Linked DNA regions of Neodiprion lecontei. The protein of the gene in region 2 interacts with the protein of the main gene of each other region in a pairwise test. Links are inferred from orthologs where the notes say so. Each region holds a gene or a part of one and is shown on either strand. Other genes may lie near its edges.

Region 1 (11,399 bases), on a different chromosome or scaffold from region 2:
GCCATTCACAGTTGAGGGGGAGAGAAATACTCAGCAAGAAATATCGAAAAGAATATTAAGAACGGAACCTCCCATTCCTGGGCATCTCAGTGCCTCCGTTCGCAGTTTCATAACAGGCCTTCTGGTAAAAGATCCTCGACTAAGGCTCGGCGGGGGGCCTGAGGATGCCAAGGAGCTTAAGGAGCACGAGTTTTTCAGCAAAGCTTCACCCCCCTTCAGTTGGGAAGCTCTTGAGTCTCGACAGATTACCCCACCTTTCGTACCCAAGATCACTCACGAGCTAGACACAAGTAATTTTTCAGAGGAATTTACAAAAATGGTCGCTGCCGATAGCCCTGCTGTTGTACCACCAAATTATGACAAACTCTTTCGGGTAAGAATTGCCTCAAGATATTGAAAATTATTCCAAATCAAGATTGTTTATAAATTTGCTTTGAATTTAGAGTAAAAAATTATGTTTTCATCTAATTTTTGTCATAATGACTTGAAATTTCAGGGCTATTCATATGTCGCGCCATCGATATTATTCGCGGAGAATGTGATCAGCGAGGATATATTCAAAAACGTCGAACGGACTACGAATGAGGATCAACACCATCGTCCATCGACCTCAGACGAGTTAGCCTCCCGTTTCGAGGAATCAGCGTTTTTCAAAACGTATGAGCTTGATCCTAGAGAAGAAGCGTTGGGCGACGGAAGTTTTTCAGTTTGTCGTAGATGTAGGCACCGTAAATCGCAACAGGAGTTTGCGGTGAAAATAGTTAGCCGAAGGGTTGACTGTGGAAGGGAGGCGAATTTATTGAAGATCTGCCAGGGCCATCCGAGTATTGTAAAACTGATAGACGTTTACAAAGATCGAGCGCATACCTATCTAGTAATGGAACTTTTGAAGGGAGGTGAGCTGATGCGGAAGTCTCGTTCCTTCCCCGAGTCTCAGGCAAGTCGAATAATGCGCCAGCTTGCCTCAGCGGTAAGTTTCATGCACGCAAAAGGCGTCGTACACCGGGACCTCAAGCCGGAAAACATAGTATTTGCCAACACAGGCGATGACTTGTTGGTCAAGGTGGTTGACTTTGGGTTTGCGAGAATTAAACAAGGCCGCGAGCCTCTTCACACTCCCTGCTTCACGCTTCCCTATGCAGCGCCAGAGGTTCTTGCCAGGCAAGGGTACGACGAGAGCTGTGACCTCTGGAGTTTGGGCGCCATCCTTTATTCCATGCTTTCGGGACGGCCACCATTCCGTACGGATTCACCGGATTTTGCATCGCGCGTCAAGACGGGTGACGTGGACTTCGAGGGAGAGGCATGGCGAGGTGTTTCAGCATCGGCGAAGAACGTTGCACAGGGTCTTTTGACCACAGATCCCAATCGGAGACTCACTGCCACCGAGCTTGTTAATCACGAGTGGATTTTAGGCTCAACTACACCTGCCGCCGCACCAATAGCCGGATCCTCTTCTTCTTCTACATCAGCCTCAACCTCAACGAGCGAAAAGGGGCAGAGCTTTAAGCTGAGGGAGGTCGATTCGGCAAAGCTTGCGCAAAGACGAAGGCTTCCCAAGCGGTCCACATCGAGTTCCGCGTCTTCTTCGGCTTCCATTGCCTCCTCGAACGCCTCGGTACAGCTACTGCAACCACCCAGCGCGAGCACCACCGTCGCTTCCGCCTCCCCTGCGCAACCCAGTGCTTTTGACTTTGGCGAGGAAAGGGTAAACGAATATCTCAGTTCTTTGTCTTCCTCGTCCGACTCGAATTCGCCAAGAATAACTAGCCGGAAGACTGAGAGGTCGGATCACCCCGGTGGCTCCAGAGCCAAAAGACGCAAACGCGATCATGACGACGTGATTCTTCAGCAAGACGATAATGGAAGTGGTAACGGAAGTGGAGGCGGAAATGGTAGCGGAAATGAAAACGGCCCGATTACAAGATCGAGAAAACGAAAGTTGGATCTAAATACAAGCGGTTCTGATAGCTGTGTCGAATTTATCGATGCAACGACGAGCCCTGGTAAAAGAGATACAATTGTACACAGAAAACAGAGAACTGGAAAACGGCCCAAGCGACTACCTACCATAATAGTAGAGTAAAAATTGCTTGTAAGCGTTTGGTAAGTTAAAGCTGACGATTTTACTCGTTTTTGTTTCCTATGCATTTTCCGTGACGTAACGCTGCTGCCTTTGGGAGTTGATCGTGCAAGACGCGGATATCGCACCATTCCTATCTCAGTACTTTTAGATTCTTTGTAAATACATGTAGGTAAGTGTTGATTTGAGCATCGCCATTGTCGCCTACTACATTTTCAAGTGGCGTCTTTGATCAGTTTATGAAGTGAAGCTGTTGATTTTTTTAACGGGTAGGTAGGGTAAATAATAATAATACTAACGACGACGACATAGGTAAAAAGAAGAGAGTGAAGTATGAAGTTATTTTTATTGTGGAGTATGTAAAAAAAAGAGCATATCTAAAATTTGTTTATCTTTTCTGCAATATTATAGTTATGCGCGCGCGCACGCACACACACACACACACACACACACACACACACACACACACACACACACACATGCATACACACACACCACGCACACATGCACATGTATATGATACATGTAATATATACATCCACATATATATGAATATAGATGATGTATAATTCTTGGGTTTTCTGTGATTACATGTTGTATAAATGAAACGTTGTATCGAATCGTTGACAATTGTTTAATACACACATACTGTGACTGTGCCTCGGGTATACCCAATTCTAAGAGTATACGGGAAAAACTTGGACTGGTGCCGTGTTAGTTGATACTATTTTTGAATCGTTATTATCGATAATTTAAACTACATTCGTGAAACTAAAATGTTACGGCTTTTTAAGAATTACTTTCGATGACGGTTTCCAGTCACGTTTCCCAAAACTCTTGACGAAAACTAACTGAATGCTAGAATATACATGTAATCGAGCTGGCCTTTTTGCCTTCGGAAAAAAAAAATTATAAGCCTGTTTTACCACTTACCTACATATTAATTAACACGGGATTGCCGCGATTGTACGACTGCTGTAGGTAACGGATAAAAAAAAAATAAAAAAAATTATATATATAAATTAAATTTAAAAGACATAAAAAAGAATAAAAACCAATAAAGTAAAAGAGTAATGGGAAAGACTGAAGAGGTTGTATAAGACCAACTCAGGGAACAGGCATGCTTACAATAAAACGTCTTTAGTTATCGATATACGAGAGATACAGGTTCTGCAAGGCTGTACGCACACCTCTGCCAAAGACGACTGAAGCAACGTTACACTGTAAGACCAAACGAAAACAAACAAAAAAAAAAAAACGAAGTAAAAAAAGAAAAACAAAAAAATCATGAAATCAATAACTGTAACAATAATAATAATTATAATAATGATGATACTAATAGTAGTAACAAGAATAACAATAAATCAATAATTAAACGTAATAAACCGAATCGTATATACAAAGCTGTGCACTGATTGCAAAACGGCGCTATGGCGCTGCTTATTATATTACTACTATAAATTGTACTTTAAATAACGTAATAGATACACCTTACATATTATTATGGCTAATTGAAATTGAACAGAAATAATAAATATGAAAAGAAAACATAAAAATAATTATATATTTAATATAATCGTATGTAAGAAGTGATATTCTTTAACAAGATGCGTATAATACGAATATATACGTATATGTGTACGTATGCTTTCATATGTATACATATATGCATGTTTTTATTTAGGAACATAGTCATTATGAATCATAAATTAAATTAATTATTGCTAATGAAGTAAAATTTCGTTTCCTGTCTTTTATTTAAAAAATTTTTCCTTCTTTCTCTTGTGATATACAGTACCACTATTGTTAGCTACATTGTAATAGACAATTATCCTTTGCTGAAAGTGTATGTGATATGTTATATTGCATACACAGAAAGTATAACTAGCAGCTTCTATGAAATATGAAGAACGCTGTTTTGTTGCTATGGATGCATGAAAGAGATGCCTCCTTTGTTACTACTGGTTGTTTAAATATATCATACGATGTTTATTTATATCCTGTGTATTTTGCATCTTTACACCCTGGTCTACACGCGCCGGCAACAACACCGTGAACCTTGAAACCTAGTCGTTTTTAGATTGGTCCTGTGTCTGTAAGAGCGGAAAACTCACGTATATGATGATAATTAACTAATGAGTTTAAATACATTGGAGTGGCTTAATGTTCAAATGATCATCAAGCAAAGTTGTATCGAGACGGTAATTTAGCCTTGTCGGGAAAATATAGTTAGACACTGTATCTTATACTTTCTGCTAATGGGGTGCTTGGTATAAATAGTATGTCTAACGAATGTTTAAAATTAAATGCACGAGTAAATCAGAAAACCAGCATATATTATAGTAGAATGGTAAAAGAAAGATACATAAGCGTGATTAAAATTTAAAACGCTAGTTGATGTACAAGTAAAATATTTCCTTATTATAATAATTGGACATATCATAAACTAACTTTACCAAGCTCCAAGGATAGTACAATAATCATAATTAAATAATGATAAGTAAATTACGGATCACAACGAATTATCAGTTTATCGTACACGTAATTCTCAATTCACCGATGATTTCATTTCAATTCAAATTATACATGTTATAATATTTTTGTATATATTATTATGTATGCAATGTTGAATATCAAGTGAGTCAAGTTTAATCTTCACTACGCTTGTTGCGATATACATATTTCTTTTTCCTTCACTTCATTTCTCTTCTTTTCATGATTAAGATAATCGGACATTCACTTTTATATTGACTAGGACTAAAACAATCGTAATGAGATGAAGGTGCATGTGTGCTAACTGTTTTGCTAAATTAAAATAAGTCTTTAAACGTTTTTCTTAACATGTTTGTTGACAAAACAAACGTCTGATTTGATTGAGGGAGTTGACTTTACGATTCATTGATCAGAGACGGCGTCAGGCTCTTACATAATAATTCACGAAAATGCTTTAAGCCATTCAAGTGTATAAAATCCAAGCTGACGTACTGAGTAAAATATAGGAAAATGATACAGAAATAGAAGGGGAGAAGACGTATTTGATGCATAAGATCAACGAGAAGGAACAACAAATAGTTGTGTAAATTGTTGTGGAGCACATCCGTTTCCCGACAGTTTCAAATGCTTTACGATTCTCGTTATCCTACTATCCCCTAAAATTTTATCATCAGTTTGCTATCGAGACGTTAACGAAAGTTACGTAAACTGATTGATGATAGTCGTTACCTTTAATAATTCTATATGTAAACAAAAACATTGATTTTGGTTACATAGGTCTCCAAACTGGAGTTTAATTGAAATTAATCTTTGTATTCGTCATATAGGTACATCAATAGTACATCCATATACATGCTGTCGCGTTAAGGTAATTGATTTAGTATAAGCCAATATTCCTGCTCCAAGTAAAATAATAACTTTTACGAATTTTTTATTTTATTCTTTTTCCGTTTCATTTCACCAAATGGAGCCTGCGGGGTCGGGAGGGTCATACTGGCCATTCAATAACACTATTGTTAATATTGAATACAAAGAGTTTTTCTGTCTTACATGTATTTTAAAACACGGGAATCAAGCTGTCGCTCGTCATTCCTTATACATCGGTTTCATTCAGAGCGTCAAAGTTCTAAGTTTACACACGAAGTTTTATACGTTGAAGGAGTACCGCTAAGAGTCTCGTTAAGTGAAAACTGCCTACTCTCTGTTTATGTACTATTTTGTTTATCAACCCTGAATAAATCACGCGACAAATCTTATTTATTACAATATCGAATAAGATTCTGAAAACTATAAATTATACCAATTACTGCCCATCCATCGATACACTGAATCGATACGCGACGTACACACAAATATACAAATGAATATACAAATCGTTGAAAACGTGGAGCAGGAACGGGATGGAGGGGGGGGGGATCGTTTTAGATCGGTTCGCAGGGAAACGGGGAGCAGCGAAGCCCCAGCCCCTAGCAACATCCACCACCTTGAGCGCCACCCTGACCTCCAGTTCCCGCCAAGCCACCTGGGCTTGTCGGCGAATGCTGAGGTCCAATTTTGATGCCGTTTGCCTGAAAAAAATAAATTCCGTAAGACCATTTCACACCTCTTAAACTTATCTTAGTTCCTGATCTATTTCTCACCTCATTGTTGATGTCAAAGACACCTTCTTGTATTTTTTCATAAATCTCTTTGGCAGTGTTGATAAATGCTTCTTCGACGTTGGCTGCAGTCTTTGCACTCGTTTCCATGAATACAAGACCATGTTCTCGAGCGAACGCCTCACCCTCTTCTCTTTTAACCTCTCTCCGTGAATCAAGATCGCTCTTGTTTCCAATCAGCATTATAACCATGTTGGAATTGGAATGCTGCCGTGCGTCTTCTAGCCATGTTGTTAAATGGTTAAAAGTCTCTCTGCGAGTTATATCGTAGACGAGTAGGGCTCCTGCCGCGCCACGATAATATGATCTTGTTATGGAACGGAACGCTTCTTGCCCTGCCTGCGAGTAAATTAAATCAAGAATTTTAAAAAAGTAAATGAAAATGAACTGAATTTCATATGCAGCTTTGTTCTTTACCGTATCCCAAATCTGCAGCTTAATCTGTTTCCCATCAATTGTGATCATACGCGCGCCAAACTCAACGCCAATAGTCAAATCATGTACTGGTTGAAACCTTTTGTCTGTGAATTGCAGCAGGAGACACGACTTGCCGACTCCTGTGAATGAGATTATAGACAAGATTTTTATCGTCGGAAGAAGCTGTTGACATTAGCAAGACGATGCAAAGAAAAACGTAAGATCCGCATGAATCATCCGAATAATCATTAGATTAAATACTGCTTAGAACAATTAGAAATGAGGTTAATTTTTACTGTAAAATTTCCATCAAAAATATGATCGCAATCGTTTATTGAGAATGAATATTCATCAGCTCTAATATCCAGGTAACCTCGGCCGAGGATTGGGGCAATGAAAAAAAACTGATTTTTCTCGTCTGTCTAGCCAAGAGGGGTTAGTCGAAAGAAAAAATGAAGGAAGTGTGAATATTGGTGAATGCAATGACATGAAAACAATGGGAGCTGTCACGGCAACGTAATACAGACAGATGATCGGGATTCTGAAAGAGTTTGTCGAGTCTCCAACAACTTACCCGTATCACCGATGATAATGTATTTGAAAAGGTAAGCGTAAGACATTTCAAATTCTACAAAGTTCGTCAAAACACGGTAATTTTCAAAGTACACGACGAGGGAAGCGTAGTAGTTTCGTTTCAACGCTCTTTCAGTTGCTTATTATTTCGCTTATCTCTTCTGCTGGCCGTGACGTCACTCGATATACTTCGGCACTGTTCGGTCGCATTCGGACTCCTCCTGAAGTCTGATTCGGAATTTGGACGCTCGGATATTTTCTTTTCTTTTAACCAGCAAAGTCCAAACTACGCGATTCCCTATCTGAGGCCTGGCCGTAGACCTTCTTGATATCTCATCCTTTCGTTTCACTCACGTTTAATTAAATTTCCAGCTATGCAACGATGCGAATTTTCGCGTAGTAATCTGCGTTTGAATTTTCTGAGAAAACAAAAGCATCACGCCTGCGCGCGCAATGGATTGTGGGACAAGCGTAGAGCGCGTTGTTGAATTGCGATCGAGTCACACTAAACACATTTTTTTTACACGATTATCGCGTTTGATTGTTCTAATATCCGTGATTTCGAAAAATATGAATACTGGAACGATTCTGAAGCAGTCTAATCGCCACCGCAAAAGTCATGTGGGTTGAAATAAGAAAGAACGAAATAGGGTACAATCTCAAGCATTAATTTGGAACTCGGCGTACTTTCATCTGTTTTTTACTTCTGTACACTGTATGTACCTGGTACGAAATATTCAGTTACTTGCATAAATAGGCTTATTAAATTAATCAGACATGTTGTTAAAGCATGCAGTGAAACAGGGTGAACAATTTTCCTTCTTTATTGTGAATTTGTAAACAGACCAAAATCCCTGTTGTACAATTTTTGAGCAAATGACACAATATTCAGTTACTTAATAGATGTTAATACAAAGTTTCTCGGCGATAGAAATGGGTCGAAGACAGCCTTTAATTTTGGCGATAAATTTTTCTCTGACAGGTACAAGAATCTATCCAACAAAACTGCACTCTCGACCAACGGTGCTAGCATCGATCTGAGGGAACCAAATACCACAACCTGTTCCCAGCGTTCTAGCAACTCGGCTGTTTTAGGATTTCTAATTTCCTCTACCCTCCGTGGACGATTCTCTTCAGTAAAATTTTCTGTAACTGCCATGCAGTACCTGCAAAATACAAGTGAGTATTCATATCTCAGTCTTAGCTTAAACTGCATAGAAACAGTCAAGGATTTAAAAGTTAATATTGATTAAGGAAATATTTTCATCACGAGTAACCGTAAACTACTGACTCTTCAAATGTGGTATTTTCCTTGAGCTTGAAACTTTTGAGCTGAGCATGACGTAGAGAGGAGTTTCTCTGAACGATGAGACTCTCTAGCGTTGCTCGATAAGCATGTATCTATAACCAAAGGAATATTTCATAATGAATACAATGCTCGCAATGCTGTAGAAATAAATTACAGTCATACTTTGAGTTCCCAGCATTCGGCAGACTTCAATTTTATGCAATGGTTTTCTACCGCATGGCAGGCAACTTCCAAAGCTGTGTACGAGAGATCGTAATCAATCCCAGTTGTGCGTAGATATTTGCTGAGAGGGTAGCTCTGCGGGCTTTAAATTCTCGAGTTAAATTATAAGCGAATAATAAGAATCTAAAACTTTTGTTATTCAAACTCCTTACCCAAGCGAAAGCTTCATGTAGCAGCATCCTGCGACGCAAATGAACTTAGCACGGTCCGACTCTGCGTAAGATTGTAGCAGCGTTGTTGCCAAATCCCCGCAGGGATGTAAACCAATCAAACCGAATCCTGAAAATTCTGGATTTAATCTGAACTTTTCTGTAAATTCTTTGTTTATTATATCCATGAAAAAGGACAATTCAGATGAATCTCTTTCTATCTTCAAAGACACGTGATGCGGTTTTTGCTCTCGGATGTTGGTTACGTACTTCATGGCGATAGATTCAAATTGTGTATCTAGTTTTCTGTAGAAGAAACATTAGCAGATTTCATCAATCTTGATATCATCTCACCTATATTCAGTTTTCTACCTACTAACACATTTTTATTTTTCCAGAAATTGCGTACCTGGCTTGTTCCGACAATAAAGACTGCTGTTCAACGCAAATTATGCACATCTCGTGTCGATAAGCAAGCGTTCTAGCGAGGTGACCAATTCCGGCTCCAACATCGACAGCGCATTCCGATTTCGCCGAAGCAGCACAATCCGCTATTATCTGAAAATTCAGCAAACCTTCAGAGTTTACAACGTCGATTCTTGGTAAGAAATTATCACGCGACTGACAGTTCAAACCGAACACCTGCGGTCGCGCATGATGCAATCAATGTAAAATATTTGCCTCCTTTCCGCTAGAAACTAATTATGCAGCTAATTAAGGCGAGTAATGTTAAAAGGCAGTTACGCGTTAGTAACTAATTACCTTCGCCATTATTTCGATTTCATGTTTCTTTTTCGGTTTTACGTGTTTGCCAAGTAAATCGCGTAACTTCGAATGACTCGAACACGTGCTCGGTTTCACTTGAGGCTTGACAAAATCCGTATTCTCCGTTTTACGGACATTTTCGCATTTCAACGCGATCTCGCTCCTCTGATTTCTGTGTACCTGTAAGATACCGACGACTCGACGAAGCGCCTGCAGAGATAACGGCCAGACTCGGACACTGAATGGGATAAAATGTTTCGGTAGTACAGTTGCTTGATATTCAAATCGACAAGGAAAATGATTATTGAGTAATATTATTCTTGAATATGAAATGATTATATGAAATATGATATGAAAATGATTATTCTTAATCTTGTTACTTATCACCTCGAACCCTCGTTCAAAATCCAGGATCCAAGTTCCCCCGGCGTGATGTCTTTGAAGAAATCGATCCAACCACCCGGAAGTCTTTCCCATAAATCGGCCTCGTAAAAATCCTTGGAAATGTTGAGCATGAAAAAATATCAATAATGTGAATGAAATTTTTCACTTCTTACCCAATAGTTTTTTAATCTTTCGCGCGCTGCACGAGGCCGCAACTTTCGGCCGACGAAAAGACCTAGTAGCTAGCGGAATCGCTGCTCTAGATTCTTGCACGTTCGTGGAACAGCATCTCGACTGGGTGATAATAACAAGAATAATAAACCGACCAGCGATCCTAACGTATTGTTCTCCTTCTGTTCTAGGCAAATTAAACGGTACAGAAATCGATAAAAACTAACCACGATGTAGGCGTCCAGAAGCCATCGGTATTTGTCAAGAACGATAAATATTTGGCGTACGGTTTCTCGCACGGAGTCGCAAATTCGGCATAAGCAGGTGCCGGACCCGGTGTTATCGACGGTGGCCATCGTGGTCGTATCTTGCACGGTATATTTCATGTATATTTCAAGTTTGGTTCAATTATCCCGCCGGGATAGACGCATCTTTTTTGAAGAGGCGTGCCGTATTCCCAGGGAGCTATTTTTTCCCGCGGTCCTGTAAATAATTGTACATCATTATATCCCTTGTAAGAGGTATACTCCCACTTGCGTTACGCATACGAATTAATTACATCGTGTAATCTGCATGCGCGCGGGAATTTTGAATACCTTAATTATTATAAGCTGTCTAGGTAAGCAAGGGGTAAGAGTACGGAGTATATTCGCGTTCGGTTTATTTGTTAATTATAAACGCAAGTACCCACGATTCCCTCGTCCCACTTAGCAACACTTTCACTCTTCAGCAGTTACGTTATTGCCTGCCTGCCTGCCAGCACATCACTCGTCGGAAGAGTCGTATTTGCACGCGCGCACTGCATACAAGTGTAACACTTGTAATACGAATTTAAAGGTGTAATCACCGCCACATATCCACGGCGAAACGTATTGCGTGCGATGTACAAACTCTTGGATTTTTGTAAGAACTCCGTGGCTAACGTACAAACTGTATCGTTAGACGAGCTTCGTGGAGCGTGAGAATTGAACGAAATTGAAACTGTACCAGTACGACAAGATATATTATATATGTCCCAACTGCTGGCAACAGGTCGTTTTTTCTTTTTCGTCTACAAGTCGAAAGTCATATTCAAGCTTAGAAACATGAATTCGTTTTCTTAAGACGAAGTAAGAAAATACAGATATAACGATGAAACCGAATGAACTTCTTTTTCGATCGAACTATCGGTTGAT
Region 2 (12,552 bases):
TACGTTTTTTTTCCCCTTCTACTTCGCCTCTGATTTTTCCCCAACCTTTCCATTTCTCTAATTTTTGATCTCGCGATTTTTTGTTCTCTTTCTACTTCCGAGAAACACCGCAGTCCGTTAGAAATATCCGTGTGTACCAGCTTCTTGAGTTTTCGCGACAGCTTCCCATTGTATTATACCATATAGGTATACACATATAGTATACCAACGGGGTATAATGTACTACGAAGGAAAGACGGCTTGCACAGTGACTGTATACTTTGTTCATAACGGTTCTACAGTTAGATCGAGTAGATACGCGTAAAGAAGGTACAGGATAGATAGGTTCTTCTCCGTGAGATGCGGAGAGGAGGAATGAGGCAAAACTTTACGCTCGCTGCGTGAAAGTTTCGAATGTGATTGAAGAATAGGGCATAGATCATGTGAGCATGTGGTTAGAGTGTTATAAAACGACGAAGCCTTAGAGTACCGTAGACGTTTTTTTATTTCTATTATAAGGCGAAAGATTACATGCACCGAAAGTAAAATAATATCGTATGAAATCAACGAAAAACATACGCGCACGTTATTTTGGAATTTAAGTATACCGACTTAAAATGAGTGAGCGAACAGTAAAAAGATAGACCGTACATTTGGTCGTAATTCGAAACAGTCATTATGTCAGGCTCTTACAAGTACATATGTGTACTATGTGTATGTGTCTAAGGTATGGTAGATAAGGTGGAAAAAACGTAGATATAGGATATATCATATATATACGGTATGTAATATATCTGTCGATTTAATCAACCGTTAAGAATGGTCTAATTTCACGACGATTATATACATAACCGAATATGAAGGGAACTTTTTAATATTGATTTTATATACACCTATATGCGTACAATTATATACCTGCGTGTATTGACGTGACGAAACTCAAGGGACGCTTGTCTATGTAAAAGATATAAAAGGTATACAAAGGGGAATACGTGTAAGGATAAGATATAACGGATCGAGATTATACTGATTTTTCAAATACATTCTCAACCGATATTATTTCAGAAGAGACAAATTACTGCGCGTAATTTCCAAGTCTCATTTCAAACGTATAGACACGTAGTCAAGTTTGCTTGAGGCAGCTGGTGCATACAAAATACATCGTCAAGACGGTTGGCTTCTTTGCATAAAATTTTCGTCCTGGCAATCGATTGGATAAAAGAAGGCGGACGCATTTCCGACAAATTTTATGTTCCAGACTACCGCATACACACGTTGTATGAATATCGTGTTTTCAAATATTTATACGACCGGGTTACGCTATATAATAAACACACTTTTCATACACGAATGTATGCGTATAGTAAATTTTCATCGACTACGAAAAGTTTTATATCGTGCCGAAATTAGAACATTCCTTCGGTACGATGTGAGGGAAAGAAAAAAAAATAAATAATAAAGAACGAAGAGAACGTGTACCGTCGGAGGAAATGATTTCTATCGCGCATCTTCCGCGCAAACAATTTATTTATAATAAAACGATGTCAGGAGAGAATCGGTAAATTATCGAATTCACAAGATATTTAAATGAAAAGTTGAGTAGGTTTTTTTAGTAGGGAAAGGGATTTGACGAACGGTTGCAAAGGAACTTCTTCGCGTATACTGTTAATTTATTAATTTATTCAGTCAGCGTTGTGTCGTCCCTTTAGAGCGCAGCTCCTGCACCTGCCGGCTTGACGTAACAGTAAACAGAGCAGACCGAGAACAATTGAATAACGATGCGAGAGAGTTGGAATACGGAATGAAGCAAAAAGGCAGCTTACTGTATCATTGTTGGCTCTGTTTTTGTTCGAATTAAGTAACAACAATTTGGTCATTGGCAGTCCTGACAGGTACGGAAGGGATTATATCTAAGCTCGATCGAACGTCGTGCCTAAATCATTAGGCTAATGATAAGGATGCGGTGGGCAACGTCGTTACAGACAATTGTTCGTTGATGCGATTTGTATAAACCGCGACGATTTCTTTCAATTTTTATTTCAATTACAGTGAAATTATCGAGTAGAAACGGACTTCAATTTTTTCTTCATCCCAGTGGACGCCGTTAATGCAGGTAATCGGATTGACATAGTTTCGGTGAAAATTTGAAAATCGAGGTATTACCGAGCGCCTTGAGGGAAAATTGAACGTGGCAGGATGTACGGCGATCTCTTCAAACGTGGTATCGAGTCGTGAAATATCTCGGTATGCGTTATAATCAGTAAATTAGGAAACCGAGAGTAAATCGACCACCATTTTTACGGGAGACAAGATTCCGCCCGTCAATCCGCGTACGATCCTACAAACGGTAGCTATACTCGACACTCTCTCACAATTGTTTCGACGTGTGACTTACCCTGGCTAAAAAATACTCCCAAGCACCGTTTCACCTCAAAACTTGCATAAAAACTCCACAAAATACACGATAAACCACTTCTAGATTCACTCGGTACGTCTCCTCACTCACACGACCGGCGCGCAACCAACTGTGCAATGCAACACGGCGTCCAGACCTCGCGGAGAAGAACTAGTCCCGCCTACTCGCGCGTCGCGACGCCGAGAATCACGTTCACGGCGAAATATTTGGCCGCCGTAAAAGACGACGGTGTATCCCGAACGATAATTCATCCGAAAAGTGAATTGCAGACTCCGATTTCATGCGTTTTTAGTCAATTTCAGGGATCACGCATGTAAACTATAGACTCACGGACTATAGTGACATTGGGCGTATGAATACACTAAGAGTATGACATCATCGGCCCCGTTTACACATTTTGCCGATGGGCACGCCCCATCCTTCAATGATCCTTATTATTTGCTGTATTTTATATTTATTCGATACTTAATACGTTATTATTGGGCGATAATCTCGGCACAGAAGAATCGTTGTATCCCGGGCACGATCTTTCGGCTTTGAACGCGTTCGATCAATCTTAGCAGATGTAGTATCGTTATATATTTTATCCATAATTTTGTGTTATCTTACACTAGGAATGAGAGTGACTTGGCTGAAAGAAATTATTTTTTGACCAAACTGTTGGCAGATATTTAATTTACTGATCATATACATAGCTACTGATTCGTTCGGTGCATTTGCACCTTAAGATTATACAGATACAGGCCTGGCAGCTGTTATATAAGTATAGTAGGTTCAACAGTCCAAGATTTACCAGCCGAGCATATGCGTTTACGTTGAAACACATAAAATAAATTCATAGGTAATATATGCAATAATAGATTCTTTGACTTCAATACCTTTGCACGTTTACTTGGGGATCATAGTATAGTAGTATTTATAAATGTTCGATTTCGATAATGTAAAATTATATACATATTCTTTTCACATACGTTACGCCTTTTTCTCTTGACATGAATAGTGAACAATATCACCATTGGCATATCTTGCAAATGCACTGTGAACAAAAAGAAAAACATAATTGTAATTAGTTTAGAAAAAACTGAGTAACACTGTTTCAAAATTTGTAATTTGTATGGTCCTTGGAGCGTATACCAACCAATCAATGTTTTTATTAAGTTTAATGACAATATGCAAGGATCATTCAGCTATAATCACAGTTATGGTTCGGTTAACGAATAGAGATTTTTGAAATGATTTACCTTTGATTTCCAAAACGTTTTTTGCATACCGGACAAATATTGAACTCCGTTAAGAGAACGCTCTGGGACTCGTAATGCATTCTTTGCTCCTGTACCTGGAGGTGTTCAGCATAAAGCAAGCCTTTCAGAATTTGGGTCCTTCGTCGTTCATTTAGATTATTCTGCAAGCTAGCCTCGAGGAAATGTCTTATCCGACCTATTGGTACATTGTCAGGCAAAACCTCCAAGGCTTTCAAGGGTTCGATTTTTGCAGCATGTTCCTCAAGCAATTCCAAAGCTGTTTCCAAGTCAGGTTGAGCTGTCCTTCGGTTCTCTGGAGTGCACCCTACAGTATAAAATAAGTTTACCAACAGGTACACTTAAAAGCGCAACTTCAAAAAATATTTCTGTAACACAATGCGAATCTTGAAAATGATAGAGATTTACCAGTAGCTACCAAGACACCTTCGTTGTCCGGCTTCAAAAGTTGCTTGATCAAAGTAACATAGACTTCGTCGGCCCCATCTTGATTTTTCCCCTTTTCTGAATTTTTCTGACCTTCAATACATATTCATCATGTAGAATGAATATTTTTATTATTCATTTAGATGATACCAACCTTCGAATTTTGCATATACATTACTGCAGAATTGAATCGCCTTGGGGACGTCATTTAATAAGTTTACATAGATGGAGATGGCCTGCTCGTGACGACCCAATCGTCCTAAAATAATCGCACGTTCTTCGAATAGGCAATTAAATGGTAAATGAACTAGGACCGTTTCTGGCGTGTAATGAGTTGACTTCTCTAAGAATTGTTGTAGTTTCTGTCGAAGGTGCTGAACATTTTGCTTTTCAGCCGGCGAAGCATTTGGGTTCAAGCCTGCTAAACACTTCTCTTTATATTGGTGTACCAGGACGTTGTGAAATAGAGGATTGTTATCCATCCAAAAATGAACCACATGCTCCAAGTACGTTATCACCAAGTCTTTGTGACAACGTAAAAGATAATCCAATACTTTGGGACGTGGCAAATGTTCAACTTCCTGTCGGCATTAAATATGTACAAGTTAGTAAAATAACGGCAGGGAGCTTCCACAGAGTATTCCATTCACAGAATATAAGAAAGATGAAAAATGTGGGTATGCTACTAATTATTATTACCTGCACATCTTCCATAAATATTCTGAGGCCCTGTTCTGGGTCCTGTTCCAAAACCCATCCAGAAAACTTCAAAATCAAATCCATATGGTCCTTACCTAGGTGCTGTAAGTATTGAATTGTTCTCTCGGTACCTCTTAGACTCGAATCACTTTCGTTGGATTGTTTCTCAAGCAACTCTAAAGCCTTCTTGTGCTGACCTTTTGTTTGATATAATATAATTAATTCTGGGTATTTCTGATATTTCAATAAAGTCTTCTCCGATTCTGCTAAATGGCAATGGTTTAAACGCAACAGTGGCGCTACCAAGGCATCATTTGTCTGTAAATGTAATTTATTGTAAGATTGAAGACTGCATTTTATTCTGAATAGCCAAAATATTAAGTAATACAAAATTGAGATTTACCTGTAAGTAACATTTGAGTAATGTTGTATCGATTATTTTTAAAAGCTGCTCTGTAGCCACAGCTGTTATATTCTTGGTTTTCTCTCCTTTCATTGTATCTTTCTCACTATTTTTCTCATTTTCTTTATCTTTTGCTTGCGTATCACCCATTAATTTATGTCTCACTTCTGTCAAGAACTTAATCAAGGCAAGCAAGCCTTGTTCCAAATCACGGTCTTGCAATATTGGCACAGTTGTAACATGTTCGCTAGTTTCATTGGCATTGGTTGGCTGGGAAACCAGATCAGGGAAAAGTCTGATTACTTCGTACGGATCAGTACCTGATTTGAAAAACTGCTCCATAGACTCGGCAAATTTTTTATTAGCAAAAAGATAGTGGGCGTATAACGTTTGTATTTTCCACGTTTTTTTTGCTTTTTCTTCTTCTGTTATGTCAGACAAATGCTAGAAACAGATAATTTACCATGATCATTGGTTGTTTAAACAATTATTTTATGAATTCTTCAATAATAAATGATATGCTCACAGTTAATTTTAAAGCCAGCTGAAACTGATTCTGTTCAAGAAGTGTTCGAATCTGATGCGTCACCTCCACGGCATTTATACACCAAACTTGGCTAACTGATGCTACATAAACAAGGCCCTTTCTACACCTGCACAATAATCTAGCTTTGTTAAGTTCTGGTATCGTTTGAATGTGTAAACAACCTTCCAAGGTATAAACTTCCAAAGTATCGTTAATTATACCCATGAGAAATGGATCATCCCATGCTAGAAAATAAATATTCTCGCAATATATTTTTTAATATCTCGAATTGAATTGTATTTAAGAAACACTGTTTTACTGATTATTGATACCTGTAGCACTAGGCGAATCTGGCCATTTGACAGAGTTGTGTTGGACCAATTCTCCTTTTGTGTTCATAAGAATTGACTGTGAATCTTTTCCTAAAGCAAAAGACGTGTCTGACAGTTTTGTTATCCCTGGTTCAGGAGACTTTCCACTTGGAAATAATTCCTTACTTGTACCATCTAGATCCAAAAGTATATAAGATAATCCACGGAATCCCAAAACCACAGTTTCTCCGCACCTACAGCGTAAAATGTTCCGAGCAAATTTAAATAAGATATGCAACCAATTGCTGCTCAACCTTTTTCTTTTACAATCTAATAACTTGTTTCGTACCACGACAAGACTCGAGGCACATCAGGAACAGTTAATTCTTCTCCAAAGTCTATAAATTGATCCACCTTCCACTCGTACAATTGTAATTTTCGCTTCACAGCAACACACAAGCGAACAATTGTATCTTTTTCACCTGTCAAACTCTGAGTACGTTGTACATCCAACACGAAGAGCGTCGCACCTTTCGTTTTTTGCAACTGACATATTTGAGGGATTGTTGCAGAATTTAAGTCATGTACGCAAATGATGTTGTCTAAAACATTGATTTTCGGACATTGTTATCGCCTTATTGGCAATTGAAAATTCAAATTTTTATTTTCTTATTCGACTCACCGGTCAAAAGTATCAACAAGTTGTACTCTGGTACAACTTCGATCTGCAAAATAGGTTTTTTGCTAAAGTTTTTACCGTATCGAAGCAATTGTAATTCTTGTTTGTCGTTTGACTTTGGAGGAACACTGTACATTAACAAATGTCCCTGTCTAGTGCCGATGAGTAAGTTATCATCTGTAAGTAAAAAGTTTCACTGATAATTCAAAGTTGCGTTTTATATATAATTTAGAATACTGCACAGTTATTTCAGTTAAGGTGTAGAACGATTGAGGTTATGTTTGGCGCTCATTACCGTAAGCAGTAATTGATTCGATCTGAACTGTCAATTTCAAGAGAGGTGAAGCTTCGTAGGCGTCGTGCATCTTAACACTCCGTTTGCACAAAGATGTTTGGATCTTCACGGTATTTTAACACCGTGGAATCTTACACTGACATTTCACTCCACGACGACGTTTGGGGTTCTGCTTCTGTCAGTTACCGTGCCACGCAGCACTTGTTTACATTAAACGTTGACGTCAGCTGGTTAGGTATTCAAAAATGGTGTCTCCACTGACTGACGATGTTACTTTTAAAGAATATCAATCCAAAAACCATCATTTTGTTTGAGCCGAGGGCTGTGCCGATTATAATAACTTTGTAGACAACAATGACCTTTACAGGTTACTTCAGTTGTGCTGGATGTTGATATTTGTGAGAGAATCGTAAGATAATATGTTACTAAAATGTATTGACTGGTCAATGTACAGACGTAGAATAGTTTATTCTTATACTTATTATTAATTATGCGTCTAAGTGAATTGTTACAATGTGTCGACCTGGCACCATAACAAGCCCCAGGGCTCTAGCTTCGGTGTGTTCTTCTGACAAGAATTCCGAACACGAGCCTAAAATAACATTGGCATCACGATCTGTACATAAAAAAGCCCCCGTCAAAACTCGGCCATCGGTCATTTTGATTTTAAGGTGACGATTCAGCCATCCTCTCAATTTTAGTTTGGCTGGTGATTCCTCCACTGGCAAGGCCTGAAAAAAACATGAATTAAAACAAATCAATTATACCTCATGTGTTTGTTCAGTTATGGATTGTATTAGCTAAAGGTAGTCATTTTTAATTGAAATAAATAATACCACATTTTTAGACAAAAATTTTCTAAATTATCATAACCGTCACATTCGCTAATTGTCACGATCCAATTACCTCTCCGTTACCGTGAACAGCCTCAGTATTTGGAGTTGTCGACATGCTGTGCACCGTGTCTTTCATATTCTTGTTGATTTATTAGGATAGGTGAAAATCTAAACGTATTATACAATTACAATCAGTTTGCTTGCGCAATTTTCCACAAGTAAAACCAGCAACAACAAAATCGTTGACAAAATAAAACCGTTCCTGACATCTATCAAAGTGTTGAAGAAACTCGGTGGAAGTTAGATAATACCGAGCTAGAGGGAGCGGAAAGTAGCTGAGACGGCGGAGCTATGGCGCATGGTATTTTTTAAACTTTCCGCGGTATGTACATCATTAACTATTGTTCATTTCGCATGTAAAAATACTGTCTACACCAAAGTAAATTACCAATAAATCATAATACCATGTCTTCCGAGGGCGTAAGGGACCCTGAGAATCAGCGCGAAGATATTCTTCTAACCTCAAAATCAAGCAGGGTGGATATCGGTGAAGAGAATGTAAGAGACACTGTAGATGATGTAAAAATTGTATATTCTAACATCAAAGATGTCACAGAGAAAGATGAAATTACGGACTCGATAAAGTTGCTTCAACATACGTCAGAAACAAGTTCGAAGCATGATCTAATGGAGATTGACAGCTCGTATATGAAATCAGTAAATGATTCTGTCGAGGCCAATGTGACCACTGAGGAAGGTCAGATTAATGTACCTATTAGCATAGATGATGTCGAATCCTTGAAAGTTGTTGGAAATGGACTTGATACTCCAGAAATACAAGAAAGACACGCAACTCGGACAGCAAATTTGATCACATTGCCTGGTCAACTGGTTGCTCAAGACGCACAGAATGACAGGCCTATTGAGATCAAAAATAGTGATCAAAATGAGTTGATGCAAAAAGACAAAAGCGTTGAGAACGCAGCTTCGATGGATTTAATAAAAGCTCAGGCAGCTTCAAACTCAAGGGATGGTATCTCCAAAGTAGAGGTAATAAACGTAGTAAATTCCTTATCGTATTTAGCGGCAGAATATGCAAGTTCTGATTCGGATGAAAATGAAAAAAGACCATCATCACCATGCGAAGTAATTACCATTGTTGATGACCGTGGCAATGTGAGACAAAATAACACACAGTATCGAATGGAGTCTATAGATGATGACTCTGAAAGTGGATCTAGTAGTATAAATTCCAGTGGTAGCAATTATACCACAGAAACCGATAGTGATATTGATAGCGAATCAGACAGGTAAGACATTGCTAAATATTCCTTACCTGATGTGAAAAATTGCTTGTTGATGAATACTGCAGTTTGTGTGGACAAGATTTTGTTTGTGACGTATGATTGTTACATTGCAGCCCTATACGGGTCAGTAAAATTGATTTACCAAAAATCAAAAATATTAAAAGTGAGTTTGAGGGTCTACCGCCAATCGAAGAATTGAAAATTACAGTACCTGAAGAATCATGTGACCACCTAGGCGAGGTAAATATTTCTATATTTGACGGAAGATAGAATAGATGATGTAATTTTGTTTTATTTTCGTGAAATAATAATTTTATATGCCTCTAGGTCACTGGGTTTGTAGAGGAGTTTGTTATAGTACGACCAGTTTCGGGTAAACCCACTCTAAATCTTGATTCAATTTTATTTCTTGAAAAAGGCCAAAAAGTCCTTGGCAAGGTGTTTGATGTATTTGGTCATGTGGCTGATCCTCAATATTGTGTTCGATTCAACAGCGAAGCACACATTCAACAATCGGGGATTGTTTTGGGAATGGAAGTATATTATTCTCTAAACGATGAGCACACATCTCTGGTCTTCCTTCACGAATTAGTCAAGTAAATATTTACCTCTTAAGTTTACATCGCAGTCTCTCAGTACATGGCCATCGATTCCCAAGTCAGTTAGTGAACATTTGAAAACACGTATTTTCAACTCTTACTAGGCTGAAAGGTGCTGATATCTCTGGAGAAGACGATATGGAGCCTCCAGAATTTTCAGATGATGAGGAGGAACGAGCTTATAATCAGCTGCAAAGACAAAAGCAACGTCACAGACCAGGAATGTCAGAGAGTCATGATAACTGTGGTGATGTAGTGATCCCACAAAAACGTCAATGCCCCGGTAAGTATGTTTCAGTAAATTTGTAAATCTCTTAACAAAGTTAGCTAATTTCGGGTAATGTGATAGCATAAAAAATATTATGAAATTTCATTAATACGCTTATTATAGAACGTCCTCGAAATCCTTGGGGCACTGACTGGAGATCTCAAAACTATGGTAACCGCCCACCAAATCCAAATTCCGGCCATGGTACGCTTCGATGGATCTCTGATAATTGTCGGCCTTCATTTCAAAATTCGCCCAACTTACAAAACGTAACTCACTCGCCTAATCAGTCTTCCCCTCATCGGTACAGACACCCCAGCACATTTAATTCTAGTCAGTGTCAATGTCATCTATATACTAATCGGTACCAACAAAATAATATGTGTCTTCCAACAAATCCAGAATATGTGTTTGGTCAACCGGCGAATTTTCGGCCTAACTTTCCCTATTATGGAACGAATTTTTATCGACCTAATCCTTATCCATACCCTCATATGTCTTGGGGACCACCACCTCCTCCTCCTCCCCCACCTCCTCCGCCATCTATGTAATTCTAAATTCCATGTTTTAGCTTACATACTTAAGATTTAATAAACTTTACATCAATATTCACGACCAGATTCTCATCCTCCCCCTCACATGCTTGGGGACCACCACCACCACCACCTCCTCTTCCTCCTCCTCCTCCTCCTCCTCCTCCTCCTCATCCGCCACATCCTCCGTCATCTGTGTAATTCTAAGTTTCATGTTTTAGCTTACATGCTTAAAGATTTAATAAACCTTACATCAATATTCAGCATCACATATGTTAATTTGTCAACCATGTAGCACTCCATTAGTTACGGATACTATAATGTGTACAGAGGTAACGATTAGAAGTAAATGGGCTTCCAGCAATAACTACGGTAATGCACGATTTTTTCTGTTTTTTGTAAACATATTTGAAATATATTTATCTCTCTGAATTATTTAGTTCACTGTCCGTTATTATTTTCCAGGTATTCCGTATAGATAATATTGATGAATATTTACAATGCCTTTTTACAGTTTTAGGACACATTGTCGAATAATTGTCACAAGTTTTAAGTGTGCAGATATGCGTGTATAGATCTATAACACAAATACGATCCATTTAAGTAGGTATGGATAAGTCGAATGAATTCAATCAAATTTTATGAAATCTGAGAAAATCAAAGTCAAAATCAATTAAAAAATTTAAGCCGTTTTAAAATTAAACGTGAGGAATATTATTAAAAATAATTTATTTGATACTTAGAACGTCTAGTCTCTGGTTACTATATTCACGATGGTTTGAATAATTTTTTTTCCTTTCGAGTGGTGAACCAGATTCAATAAAGGGTCCTGCATCTTTTCTTCGAGAAGTTTAACCAATTCAACTCGCATGCGTTGCAACAGTTGAGCAACCTATGAAATAAAGGTTGTTAGTACAGTGAATTGCTAATTGTTTGCTTGTTTTAATCGTTTATCTTAATTTGTTATAACTACTCTCCATTGACCTCTGAAAATATTCAATAAGATTCACATACCCTGTGCGATTCAACGCTGAACATTATCCAGCCATCTTCTAGTGACAAGATGAAAGTTCCATTGTGTAACTCTATATCGATACCATAGCCAGAGAACAAGACTAACGCCAGCATCGGTACCATTGATACTTCCCTTATAAATATTCTGCTCGTCTTAATTTTTTCTTGAAAAACTAAGTATGGGCTAGAAAAGTGACCGACTGTGAAGTTGACCGAAGAAGGATGTATGTTCACGTATCCATCTTTAGTTTTGAACTTCAACTCCTCTGGTTTGGGCTGTCTTGGTATAGCGCCAGCTGATTGTAGTTGAAATGATTTTTCTGGCGTGAAAACTTTGGCTACGTTTGGGTACAAGGCAGCACACAAAAGTCCTTGTAGCAATTTATAATTTTCGTTGTTCGAATTCATTGCTGGTCCCGTTATTTCCAAGATCCTGTCATCTCCTGCTCGTCGTCTTCCTACATCGACTGGAACAAAGCCAATTGATACCAGAAGTTCTAAAAGTTGATGTTTAACATCAGCTAATGTTTGTAGTGTTCTCGTAGATAAATAGTTCTCGTTAGCAAAAACTTGACCCGCATACGAGCTATGTGAACAAGCATCTAGCCATTTCTAAAACAGAAAACAATTAAGGTCAAGATCCTAAATTTTGAGGTCAGTTGACACAATAGCTCGTATTTATGTACTGTACGCACCTTGTAAGCTTTTAGAATAGTCAATTGATCTGAATTTGCTGTAGCAAAATCCTTTTTCTTTGCATCAAGTTCATGCTTTTTGTCAAATGGCGCAACAAAAGGACTTTTATGGGACAAGCAGGCTGCAATTGTTAATGCAGAGTCGACGCAACAGAAAATAGCTCCGAAAAGAATTAGTTTTCCTATGCGAACGTCGAGGGGTAAGGCAGCTAAGTGGTGACCTAATGGAGTTAAACTACAATCTGGAGCTATAGCTCCTACATCTTGTAAACGTTTTATTGCATCTGAAATACTGTCTTCAGATGGA

The links. The genes of interacting proteins can lie anywhere in the genome.
Region 1: the proteins of vam6/Vps39-like protein (region 2) and ras-related protein Rab-2 interact in a two-hybrid assay, tested with the Drosophila melanogaster proteins (2 studies listed by BioGRID). The link is inferred for Neodiprion lecontei from reciprocal best matches to the Drosophila melanogaster genes Vps39 and Rab2.

Annotation. Positions count from the first base shown.
Region 1 is NC_060266.1:24,866,850-24,878,248, forward strand, and holds ras-related protein Rab-2, read right to left. Parts: upstream 7,395-11,399; 5' UTR 7,272-7,394; coding exon 7,226-7,271; intron 6,792-7,225; coding exon 6,652-6,791; intron 6,574-6,651; coding exon 6,217-6,573; intron 6,145-6,216; coding exon 6,043-6,144; 3' UTR 4,399-6,042; downstream 1-4,398. Other genes in the region: ribosomal protein S6 kinase alpha-5, read left to right, coding at 1-373, 497-2,086; methyltransferase-like protein 25B, read right to left, coding at 8,117-8,390, 8,516-8,625, 8,696-8,837, 8,908-9,210, 9,314-9,462, 9,667-9,907, 10,057-10,166, 10,452-10,610. UniProt on the Drosophila melanogaster protein: May be involved in bidirectional endoplasmic reticulum (ER) to Golgi trafficking. Together with Rab7 involved in promoting fusion of autophagosomes and endosomes with lysosomes, probably through recruitment of the HOPS tethering complex.
Region 2 is NC_060265.1:27,121,954-27,134,505, forward strand, and holds vam6/Vps39-like protein, read right to left. Parts: upstream 7,260-12,552; 5' UTR 7,064-7,259; coding exon 6,994-7,063; intron 6,876-6,993; coding exon 6,702-6,875; intron 6,622-6,701; coding exon 6,369-6,621; intron 6,274-6,368; coding exon 6,041-6,273; intron 5,954-6,040; coding exon 5,709-5,953; intron 5,627-5,708; coding exon 5,183-5,626; intron 5,098-5,182; coding exon 4,780-5,097; intron 4,662-4,779; coding exon 4,235-4,661; intron 4,174-4,234; coding exon 4,063-4,173; intron 3,962-4,062; coding exon 3,637-3,961; intron 3,432-3,636; coding exon 3,368-3,431; 3' UTR 3,037-3,367; downstream 1-3,036. Other genes in the region: N-alpha-acetyltransferase 38, NatC auxiliary subunit, read right to left, coding at 7,482-7,724, 7,900-7,965; H/ACA ribonucleoprotein complex non-core subunit NAF1, read left to right, coding at 8,295-9,139, 9,250-9,376, 9,464-9,732, 9,840-10,018, 10,127-10,554; putative ATP-dependent RNA helicase DHX57, read right to left, coding at 11,285-11,428, 11,551-12,162, 12,246-12,552. UniProt on the Drosophila melanogaster protein: Part of the homotypic fusion and vacuole protein sorting (HOPS) tethering complex involved in endo-lysosomal vesicle trafficking and lysosome biogenesis.